Linked DNA regions of Drosophila melanogaster. The gene in region 2 interacts genetically with the main gene of each other region. Each region holds a gene or a part of one and is shown on either strand. Other genes may lie near its edges.

Evidence for each region. Genes that interact genetically often act in the same process or in processes that back each other up.
Region 1: of Phf7 (region 2) and Reepl1, changing one suppresses a phenotype caused by changing the other (phenotypic suppression), as found in Drosophila melanogaster (one study listed by BioGRID).

What each region holds. Positions count from the first base shown.
Region 1 is NC_004354.4:11,570,875-11,574,195, reverse strand, and holds Reepl1 (receptor accessory protein like 1), read right to left. Parts: upstream 1,490-3,321; 5' UTR 1,395-1,489; coding exon 672-1,394; 3' UTR 556-671; downstream 1-555. Other genes in the region: CG11696 (uncharacterized protein), read right to left, coding at 1-143, 213-338; Kmn1 (kinetochore Mis12-Ndc80 network component 1), read left to right, coding at 1,798-2,005, 2,064-2,407; CG11699 (uncharacterized protein), read right to left, coding at 2,896-3,027, 3,088-3,321.
Region 2 is NC_004354.4:20,159,838-20,167,492, forward strand, and holds Phf7 (PHD finger protein 7), read right to left. Parts: upstream 5,994-7,655; 5' UTR 5,820-5,993; intron 3,005-5,819; 5' UTR 2,800-3,004; coding exon 2,698-2,799; intron 2,606-2,697; coding exon 2,103-2,605; intron 2,039-2,102; coding exon 1,081-2,038; 3' UTR 518-1,080; downstream 1-517. Other genes in the region: CG9577 (uncharacterized protein), read left to right, coding at 6,928-6,979, 7,120-7,282, 7,354-7,655.

The sequences.
Region 1 (3,321 bases), 8.6 Mb from region 2:
TCCGGCAATTCAGTTTTCAGCTGCAAGGAGCGGTGCAGCGACCGCTGCTTCTCCGCTACCATGGAACAGAATTGCTCGATCTCGGCCAGCTGCCGCCAGCAGCGGTTGCACAGGCACGTGGACACCACGTCGTTTTCCGCCAACTGAAAGCGAACAATTCAATCATTAGAAAAAAACATCTTTTTGGGGTAGAAAAGTCCAAATCCACTCACCACCAGCAGCAGATGTCGCTCGATCAGCTCGGCCAGCTGGCGATGTGCCGGTTGTCCCATTGGCGGTTCCTGGCCGAAAATGGGCACCCCGTGCTCAGCATCCTCCAGGCAGAGTCGGCATATCATCTCATAAAAGGAAGGACACAAATCCCGAGTCGAATCGCGTTAAATGCAGCTGTTTTTGATTCGTTGCTGAGTTTTGTTATGTGAGCGTTACCGGACCGCGAAAAGAGACCTCCGCGACTGATTGTGCAAACACAAGAAAATAGGCTAGAAAAAATAGCTAAGAAGATAACCAACACATTGGTTCAATATTTTGTGACTAAAATTAATCAATTTAAATGCTTTTTTTGTATAAACTTTATTGCGGTAAGGTTAGTTTATTTCTGAGATGTATGCTTTTTGAAAGCTCTGAACTTTGACAACTTCCGCCTGACATATTGAGGATATCAATTGATGTCACATAAACTGCGACGAAAGATTCATTTCTTGCTGGTTGCTTGATGATGGCTGACGCATTGGCTTCGGCGGCGGTATTGGTCTCTCCTTGGGCTTGGAAATAGGCTCCTTAATAACCAATAAATCAGATTCGGATCCGTGCAGCAGATCCATATTTAAATCGATATTTTCTCCCAAAACCTCGTTGATGGTATCAGATAAGTTACCCATCTGTTTCCGCTTCTCTTCCAACTGCCTTTTGGCTATGGCATCGTTGACCAGATCCTCGATGCTGGGCGTTATTTGGAGGGCAGGACGATGACCGCTGGGCAGGAGATAGCGATCTGCCAAAACCATCAAATGGCTAAGAACGGAGCAAACTTGTTGCCACACCAATTCGCCCCATTCCAAGGTGATACGTCCCAGGACCTGGTCGAAGGATTCGTTACAGCTAAAGGATCGCAGGAACTCCTCGTAGATCACCTCACTGCCGCCGCCCACAGAGGGCAACATCCAGAACAGGAGAAGCACCTTGAACTCACTTAGCAATGGAATAAATGCCAGCAGACCCGCTGTGAAATAATCAAAGGCCACATAAACTCCATAGGCAATCCAGTAGATTAACCATCCGCGAAGATCATTGACGCTACAATTCTGACTTTTCAGGATCTTGTAGGACGCGAATGCTGGATAGAAACAGCCCACCAGAAGGGACAGTATGTGTATCACGATCGCATAAATCATTATTTGGAAATTTTGGATAATCTTAAAATTTTGGATTTTGAGAAAGTATATATATAGCTGTGTATTCGGTTCTCGATTTTGTTCATTTGGTTTGACTACTTGAACAAATACAATAAATTGAAATGTGATTCTAAACGCAAGGCCTGCTTAGCATTCATAAAATGACTTATGCCCTATAACCCTTTTCCCCTTTTTTAGTTCAGCTTTTTTTCAATGAGTATATATCTTTTTATTAATATTAAAAGTGCAATTTTTTATATCGTATATTTTAATTTGTATAAAAGGTTTTGGCTTGAAAAGAGCCAGAGCGAATTACGTTCAAAAGATGTGGCATCACTGGATCAGCGATGGGTGTTGGCAAGCGTTTACGGATTTAAAAACTGAAAACAAACGAAGCGACGCGATGGAGCCAGCCGAAAGTCCAGAAAAATTAATGAAATTCGTACGCCGCAGTGACGTACTGGAATACGTGGGCAACACGAGTGCCGTCGATCTATCGAGCGGTGATCTCTCCGACATCGATCTCAAGGACGTGCCGGCCCAACTGGAGGCCACTTTGAAACCGCGTCGCTATGAAGCAAGCACTTTGTTTAACATTGACCTGGACGATAGTAAGTGCAATCCTTGTGGTTAATTAAATTGCCATTTACTTAACGTACAGACTTTCAGTCTGGGATCCTAGCTGTCAGGAGGACGAGGTGCAGCAGTACAAGGAGCGCGCCCAGAAGGAGCAGCAAAAGTTCTTCGACTTTGTAATGCATGCGGCACTGGACACGGACAATCGCAAGGTTAGCTTCAAGCCAAACAAGGAGCAGCAGCGTTACCTAGATCAGGGACCCAATTTGCAAAACTTCGTGCGAAGCTCGTTGGCTTTCACAAACGCGGCCATCCGATTTCAGGCGGAGCACGAGGACATGATGGAGCTGCAGTGCAATATGGACGATCACTACCTATTCATGCGGAACACCATGATCAACAACGCTATACACCAGAATATGGCCAACCAACGGTGACCCTAAGCTATGCATAAATATACATATGTGAATTGTAGATATTGATAAATTAAATTAAGACTCAGAGATTGTAAGACGGTTTGCTTTTGGCTTATACAGTATAATTCGCTTAGCTGCCTCGAGTACTTTGCACAATGCCTCGATGCAGGTAACTTAAAAATGCAGCTAACTTAATTTTTTTTTTTCTATTTTCTATTTTCTATTCACACAAAAAAATGGAAAAATAATGCAGATATCTTGCCGATGCAGCTAACTATCGATGCAGCTAAGCGAATTATACTGTATTTATTTCTACCCTAATATGTAACTCCCTAAGTTGCACTTCTGATGATGGCTGCCTTTAAGTCTGACCGAAAGAAATGAAAACCGATCAAACGTCTTGAAAACATTGTCTGTATGTAAACTGAAGTTAACAAAGGTTTCGTTTTATGTTCTGGTCTACTCAGGCGTTAGGTCTACTTTAAATTGTGTGTATATTTGTGAGCTGCTTATTCCTTGTTCCAGGCTGCCAGGTATTTCATGAGGTCCGTGAGACTCTCGAAATCGGTGCGGCTGGCTGGTGGTTCGTCCTTGGTGATTCTTGGCAGTGCATTGCCCATCTTGAGGCGGAACTCCTGGAACTGCGAACGAAACGAAAGATTTAAAGCGAAATTCATTGAACAAATCGGAGGCATGCTCACATCCTTGGCTCCGGATAGCTTCCAGAAGCCGTAGCAGAAGGCGCCGGTGCCCATCACGGCGTACAGTGTGCCCCAGCCCAGCGCCCGCAGGGCCAGGGTGGCGCCCTCGTCCATCAGGATCATGCCTTGCCGCGTTCCAGCCTGCTGGAGGACCTTGCTATCCGTCTTCTTGGCGGTGGCCAGCGTGCGCGAGAAGCCGAACAGAGCGGACACCCCGCCCACCAAACCCAGAAA
Region 2 (7,655 bases):
CACCCACACTAGAGACGGAACCAAATGCGATGTTTATGCTATCGATAGTTTAGGATAGATAGTACCCCACAAACATCGATTCATTTAGCCGGAGCATAAAGTCGAATTTTTCTGTAACTAAATATGCAATGTGCCCACTCAAAAAATTAAATTAGTTTAATAAATTAATACTGGCAATTTTTTTTAATATCAATATGTATCGATATATTTAGAGAACATTATCGCAAGTGTTGCCGTTTAGCGGGTTGCTAACGTTGCCACCTGTGCATAAACTTTTGGCCATATCCAGCACTTATTTATTATGAATGGCGCGATTTTTAAAAAATCTTCAAATAATCACTTATAAAGCCCATATTATATTAATACCAAAAAAAAAACTAAATATTATATACTTTCATACCGATTTGTAGCGGGTATTAACTAGAAGCAAAACGCTATACTCTTAATGAAAGTGAGTATTCGTAGTTTACAACTTTTGAGAAGTTTTTTCAACATCCAAATAAAATCATTCTAACTTATTTTTCAAATATTTTAATTTTATTTATTTCATTTTAGCGTTCAGATACTGGGATTCTTGATACAGATACTGGATTCAGGGATTCTTAGATCGCTAGTCAAAAAAATGTAATGCTTAGAGTAATTGAAATAATGTAGGCACTGCGAGCTGCTGAAAAGAAAGTCAGATGGGGAAAATAATGTCTACAGCTACTTAAAGTAAATATGTATACAAGTTATTTATACGTGTGGAAAGGAGCACTTACTTAGCTTACTTAACAAAGCAAATAAATGGTAAATGCATCTTATTAGCGAATACCGCTAGGAGAACAGGATTTTAATGGAATTTTATATGTACAAAAGGCGGAAAATAGAGAATAACGGGTGCGAACCAAACGCACGCATTTGGTCCACAACCTAGTCGATGTGATGGTTAATGGAATGTGCAAGTGTTATGTATCGTGATGTTGTCATCTGTTCTCCTAGTCCCTGCGGGTATCCTGCCCACTCAGGATATATCCATATTGATCTTGCCGTGTACATGGATTTGTGCGAGTGTGATCTATTGTAATGTCATCTGTTCTCCTAATCCTTGCGGCTGGCCATGTGGTTGGACAAGCGGTGGCGGGTCCTATTGGCCACACAGGATATATCCATGTTGGCGAGTGAGGAAGGCCTGTTGGCCAAAGTGCGGCGACGTAAGACACGTGGAGCAGGAGTGCTCGGCTCCGGCGAGATGGAGCCCAACAGACGCCTGCCATTCGACGGCGCAGCGGCAGTGGGCGTAAGTTGGCGCCTCTTCGACTCATATTCATCACTATCATATTCATCACTATCGTCATCGCTATCCGACACGTGTCTAGGCGGCGAGACGTATCTAGGGCGCCAGGGACGACGTCCATTCGATGTGGACGGCTCAGTGTTTTCTTGGTTATCAAGTGTCGATGCGGATGTGGATGTGGATGTGGATGTGGATGATGTCGCAGTTGCAGTAGCAGAGCGAAACGAGGTTACTACACTTGAGAGAAATGTTGTTTGCGTTCCCTGTGATTCAAATGTGCGAGTTCCACGATCGGCTAAAGCGCGTGCCCCCGCAGAAGTAGATGGTTGATCATCGGAGAGGGTCACCACGCGACTCTGCACTTTGGTATCGAACGCACGCTGAAAGACGGCATCATCGTCGGAGGAGCCGAAATCATCCCAATGGGAGGGTGATAGCTTCTCTTGAATCTGATCACCATTTAGGTGACCTGGACGTGGGGCTTCGGCCGAGTCGTCCATTGAGCCGGCGTCATCCGAGTCCGATTCGGCAACGGGCACTGCCTCCGGGCTGACGGCTGAGCAAACCTTGCAGACGTAGTTTTGGAGAGTCTTCAACGTGCAAAGGTAATGTGACGGATTGGCGCCACATGAGGTGCAGTACAGCAGCATGGCGGAAGTGTCGGCGCGACCAGAGACCGCAACGCACAACGCGGCCGTACAATTGACATCGCGGCGGTACTGCCCAGCAAAGGCGTCCGGCTCGGTCTCCCAGGAAGCGTCTCTGCGGAATACAAGTACTGGTTAGTTGGGCTTGTTTGCTCCAAATGTAGTAGGTTTTAACTTACTGGTCCAGCACCGCGATGCCCATATAAGCCACCCTGCGGAACACATCTGTGTTGTTGCACAGCGGGCACTTGAAGAAGTAGCCGGACGAGTTGGCGTAGCGCTGCAGGCACCTGCGGTGGAACCATCCATTGCGGCAGCACGGCGCGTATAGGCAGGTCACCACGCTGAAGCGCTCGCCCTTGGCAACCACGTCCTCCGCGCATAGGAGACATTCCTCGTCATTCTTGAACACCGGACGGTTTCGAGGCACCAGCACATGCTGATGGCAGAACGAGTTGTACGTGTCGCAGAACTGGTTCTGGGCCAGATTATCGACGCCGCACTTGGTATGGAAGGTGCGACGGCACCCCGACTTGCAGCACCAAATATTGGCGCCCAAGCGGCGGCAATAGCAACACTTAAGCAAACGGCAGCGGTTGACCTCCGCTTCGATGTCCTCCTTGAGGAAGTTCATGATGCTCAATTTCTTTTCGCCACGCTGGATGAGATTCGAGCTGAGGTACTGCAAGAGGAAGGGAGAACGAGGGGAGTGAGAAGGTCGGCTTGCGAAGGAGTCTCCTGGACGCGGAAGCCCACCCGAATACTCTTACTTACCAAGCAGTTGCGGTGCACCATCATGTTGCCCTCCACGTGCACAGTGCCGAAGATCAGCTCGTCCCGCTCGCCGCTGAGGCACAGCACGCAGATCTGCACCATGGATGCGTTTCCGGTGACCAATCCCTCAACTAAAACAGCAACAGCAGCCGAAAAAAACAAATCTCGCCGATTGAGAAGCGATTGACTGTTTTCGCGCGCAATGAACGTCGGTTTATCGGAGATAGCCCTGCAGCCAGAGATGCCAGATCGCCTCGAGTTGATTTGATTTTATTTGCGTTGGCACGAATTGCCTAAAACTGCTGTTCTGAAAAAATTTTAATTAAAATCTTAATATTTAACATGTCTAGTTTCTATATATATTTCTATATTTTCTTAAGCAACCCTGATGTTAAAAAGGGATATTTTCAAATTTTTGCCTTGGGAAGTCCAAAGAGAATTGACGTAGCTAAATAGGAACGAAATAAAAAAATCAAGCAACAACCTAAATAGAAAAATATAAATATAAAATCTTAATACTTGACTTTTCTAGTTTCTATATATAGTTTTATATTTTCCTAAGCAACCCTTAAATTAAAAAATAGATCTTTTTAATTTGTTGCCTTGGGAAGTCCAAAGAGAATTGCCGTAGCTAAATTGAAACGAAATTCAAAAGAAAAAATAAAAACAGCTCTTATTTACCCGTTACTCAGGTGGTGCGAGAGAAATGGCAATATTCAAATAGAAGAGCGAGTGCTGTAGAGCGCGCAGCGATTGAATGTTAATGGGCTTCTAAAAGTCTAATCTGAACACAATTTGCCAGTTAGCTTCTGTTGACAAGTGAAGCACATGTCCCTTAATACCAAGAAGTTGAGCATTTTGGCGGCAACAGTTTGAGATTCACACAAGCAAATCGGGAATTTTATTTAGCCAATGATGAAGAATATATATGCACATATAGTCTGTAGGGTTTATAGGGTTGGAGACGATTCTGTTTCTATAAATTCCCAACGATTGATTTATTTTAACTCTTAATGGGCTTCTAAAAGTCTAATCTGAACACAATTTGCCAGTTAGCTTCTGTTGACAAGTGAAGCACATGTCCCTTAATACCAAGAAGTTGAGCATTTTGGCGGCAACAGTTTGAGATTCACACAAAAGCAAGTCGGAAATTTTATTTAGCCAATGATGAAGAATATATATGCACATATAGTCTGTAGGGTTTATAGGGTTGGAGACGATTCTGTTTCTATAAATTCCCAACGATTGATTTATTTTAACTCTTAATGGGCTTCTAAAAGTCTAATCTGAACACAATTTGCCAGTTAGTTTCTGTTGACAAGTGAAGCACATGTCCCTTAATACCAAGAAGTTGAGCATTTTGGCGGCAACAGTTTGAGATTCACACAAACAAATCGGGAATTTTATTTAGCCAATGATGAAGAATATACAAATATGCACATATAGTCTGTAGGGTTTATAGGGTCGGAGACGATTCTGTTTCTATAAATTCCCAACGATTGATTTATTTTAACTCTTAATGGGCTTCTAAAAGTCTAATCTGAACACAATTTGCCAGTTAGCTTCTGTTGACAAGTGAAGCACATGTCCCTTAATACCAAGAAGTTGAGCATTTTGGCGGCAACAGTTTGAGATTCACACAAACAAATCGGAAATTTTATTTAGCCAATGATGAAGAATATACAAATATGCACATATAGTCTGTAGGGTTTATAGGGTCGGAGACGATTCTGTTTCTATAAATTCCCAACGATTGATTTTTTTTTAACTCTTAATGGGCTTCTAAAAGTCTAATCTGAACACAATTTGCCAGTTAGCTTCTGTTGACAAGTGAAGCACATGTCCCTTAATACCAAGAAGTTGAGCATTTTGGCGGCAACAGTTTGAGATTCACACAAACAAATCGGGAATTTTATTTAGCCAATGATGAAGAATATACAAATATGCACATATAGTCTGTAGGGTTTATAGGGTCGGAGACGATTCTGTTTCTATAAATTCCCAACGATTGATTTTTTTTTAACTCTTAATGGGCTTCTAAAAGTCTAATCTGAACACAATTTGCCAGTTAGCTTCTGTTGACAAGTGAAGCACATGTCCCTTAATACCAAGAAGTTGAGCATTTTGGCGGCAACAGTTTGAGATTCACACAAACAAATCGGGAATTTTATTTAGCCAATGATGAAGAATATACAAATATGCACATATAGTCTGTAGGGTTTATAGGGTCGGAGACGATTCTGTTTCTATAAATTCCCAACGATTGATTTATTTTAACTCTTAATGGGCTTCTAAAAGTCTAATCTGAACACAATTTGCCAGTTAGTTTCTGTTGACAAGTGAAGCACATGTCCCTTAATACCAAGAAGTTGAGCATTTTGGCGGCAACAGTTTGAGATTCACACAAACAAATCGGGAATTTTATTTAGCCAATGATGAAGAATATACAAATATGCACATATAGTCTGTAGGGTTTATAGGGTCGGAGACGATTCTGTTTCTATAAATTCCCATCGATTGATTTTTTTTAACTCTTAATGGGTTTCTAAGAGTCTAATCTGAACACAATTTGCCAGTTAGCTTCTGTTGACAAGTGAAGCACGTGTCCCTTAATACCAAGAAGTTGGCGGCAACAGTTTGAGATTCACACAAGCAAATCGGGAATATTATTAAGCAAATGATCAAGAATATATGTATAACATATATATATATATAGTTTGTAAGGTTTATGGGGTCGGAAACGCTTCTTTGATTTATATACATTCGGCTAGCATAACAAAAACATGGCGGGTTTCAGTTGAAGATTTTGTTTTGTGGCTGTCTCAAAAAACACGTGTGCCAATTCAATGTAAAGTCCTGCACAAATAATTAAACAGTTGGAAAAACGCTTAGGGGCAACCCTACTGCCAGAGTTGGCAAGCGTCAAACTCTCGGTTTTATTTCTGTTTCTACGAATTTCCTCGAAAATTGCCGTAACCTGGGGCAAATGCGAATTGAATGAAAGTTGCAGTCCTTTATTTTCAAAGTATGTGTATAGGGGTTCTAATTAATGCCTTTTCAAGTAGATATATGTATTTGTGTTACAATTCATTGCACAATGCTATTTCATTATGAAAACTTACCAAAAAGCGTTGAATTCCCGAACTTTTTATTTGTGCTAAATTTTTAAAAATAACACTATTCACTGCTTTAAGCTTTTGATTTGGTTAAATGGGTTTGGTGCGGAGTTATTTTTGAAAACTTGTTATATTTATTTTTTTATTCCGAAAATTTCTTCTCTGACCTGTGAGCTTCTGCTTCGAGACTATGCACCTTTATGATTTTCTGATTTTTAGATTGTGGCAAGCAGAACTCAAATTTTCGATAACTTTGAGAAGTGATGGAAGCTGGGACGATACATCGATAGATTCGAGAATAATATCTGTTCATGGCAATTTTATGTGCGTCTTGTTATGTGCGTCAAGTTAGCGTCGATGAGTTAGCGGCTATGTCGGAACGGAAGAAAATGGAACATGGCATCGTTTTTTATGTACTTATTAATTTTTTTTCGTATTTTGAGGTGAATTCCAGGCGGCATTTTTAAATGCTTTAAGCTCCTCCCACTGCATTTTTCCAGGATCATTACCTAATTCGGTTTAGGTAAGCAAGGCACAAGAAATGTCCCTTAAGATGGGCTAGCGTGCAATTAGGAACAGGCTCTGCGAGTGGAAATATTCTCCAAAGAATGGTGAACCTGATTTTTCGATTGCGCATTTTATATACTTTCTTGAGTCCTATAAACTTAAGTCGTACATATATAGTTGGATAATTCTTATCTGAACATTCTAGCATTTTTATTTTTTGGAATACTCCTCTAAACAACGAAAAAATAAATAATAATACACATTCGCATTGACGCGAATTTGATGCAAAACTTTTTAAGTTAGAATCCTCCAGCCGGGTGGCAGCAAAACACCGTATTGATATAGTAGCCGAACAAATTTCTGCCGCAACGACTTGATTTTACCTACAACCCATTTATTGCAACAACTGTGTCCTTATGCAGCCAGAAAAATCCATTGAAAATCTGCTAGTGAAATATATCCAGTAGCTTTGATAAGCCGAGAGCCCGCCTTATTTTGAATATTTCTGCCGGGTGGCAGCACTGCTACGTATCGTTAAGCAAACAAAACAAATTTAGCTGCCGCAACAAGTAGATTTGATTTGAAACCAGTGAAAAGAAGGTTTATTATGTCGCTCTCCCGCCTGAACACTCTGATGAAACTAACGCCCAAGCCCACGGGTAAGTATCGGGGACTTCGATAATCCGACATCCAGCCTTCTGCGTTCGAAATTTGGGTTCGGTTCAAAGTCCGAACACCGGTGATTGAACCTTTGTCTCTTCATCGTTTTAAAAGTCCAATCAATTGCACTTCCCGTCAGCCATCGGATCCCTTAAGATGCAGAGAAACCTTTCCGCCCTCCCGGAATCCGGACCCACCGGCTCTTTCAAGACGCTGGCCGTCAGTTCGCCCAAGCCGTTCGTCTTTCATGTGGAGCTCCATCGGCCCAGCAAGTTCAACGCCATAAGCAAGCAGATGTGGCTGTGGGTTATCCAATAGCTTCCCGTTTCCTGTTCCGCAGACTGCTAACCCAAACTGCGTTACCCATTTCCAGGGAGATCAAGGAGTGCTTCGACGGACTGGCCACTAATCCCGACTGCCGGGCTATCGTTTTGTCCGCCTCCGGAAAGCACTTCACCGCCGGCATCGACCTCAACGACATGATAAACGTGGGCCAAACGCTGGCCGAGACCGATGACTACGCCCGCAAGGGCGTCTCCATGGAGCGAATGATCAAGGTGTACCAGGACTCAATCAGCAGCCTGGAGCACTGCCCCAAGCCGGTCATCACGGCGGTGCACAAGGCGTGCATCGGCGCCGGCGTGGACCTGATTACCGCCGCCGACATTCGCTACT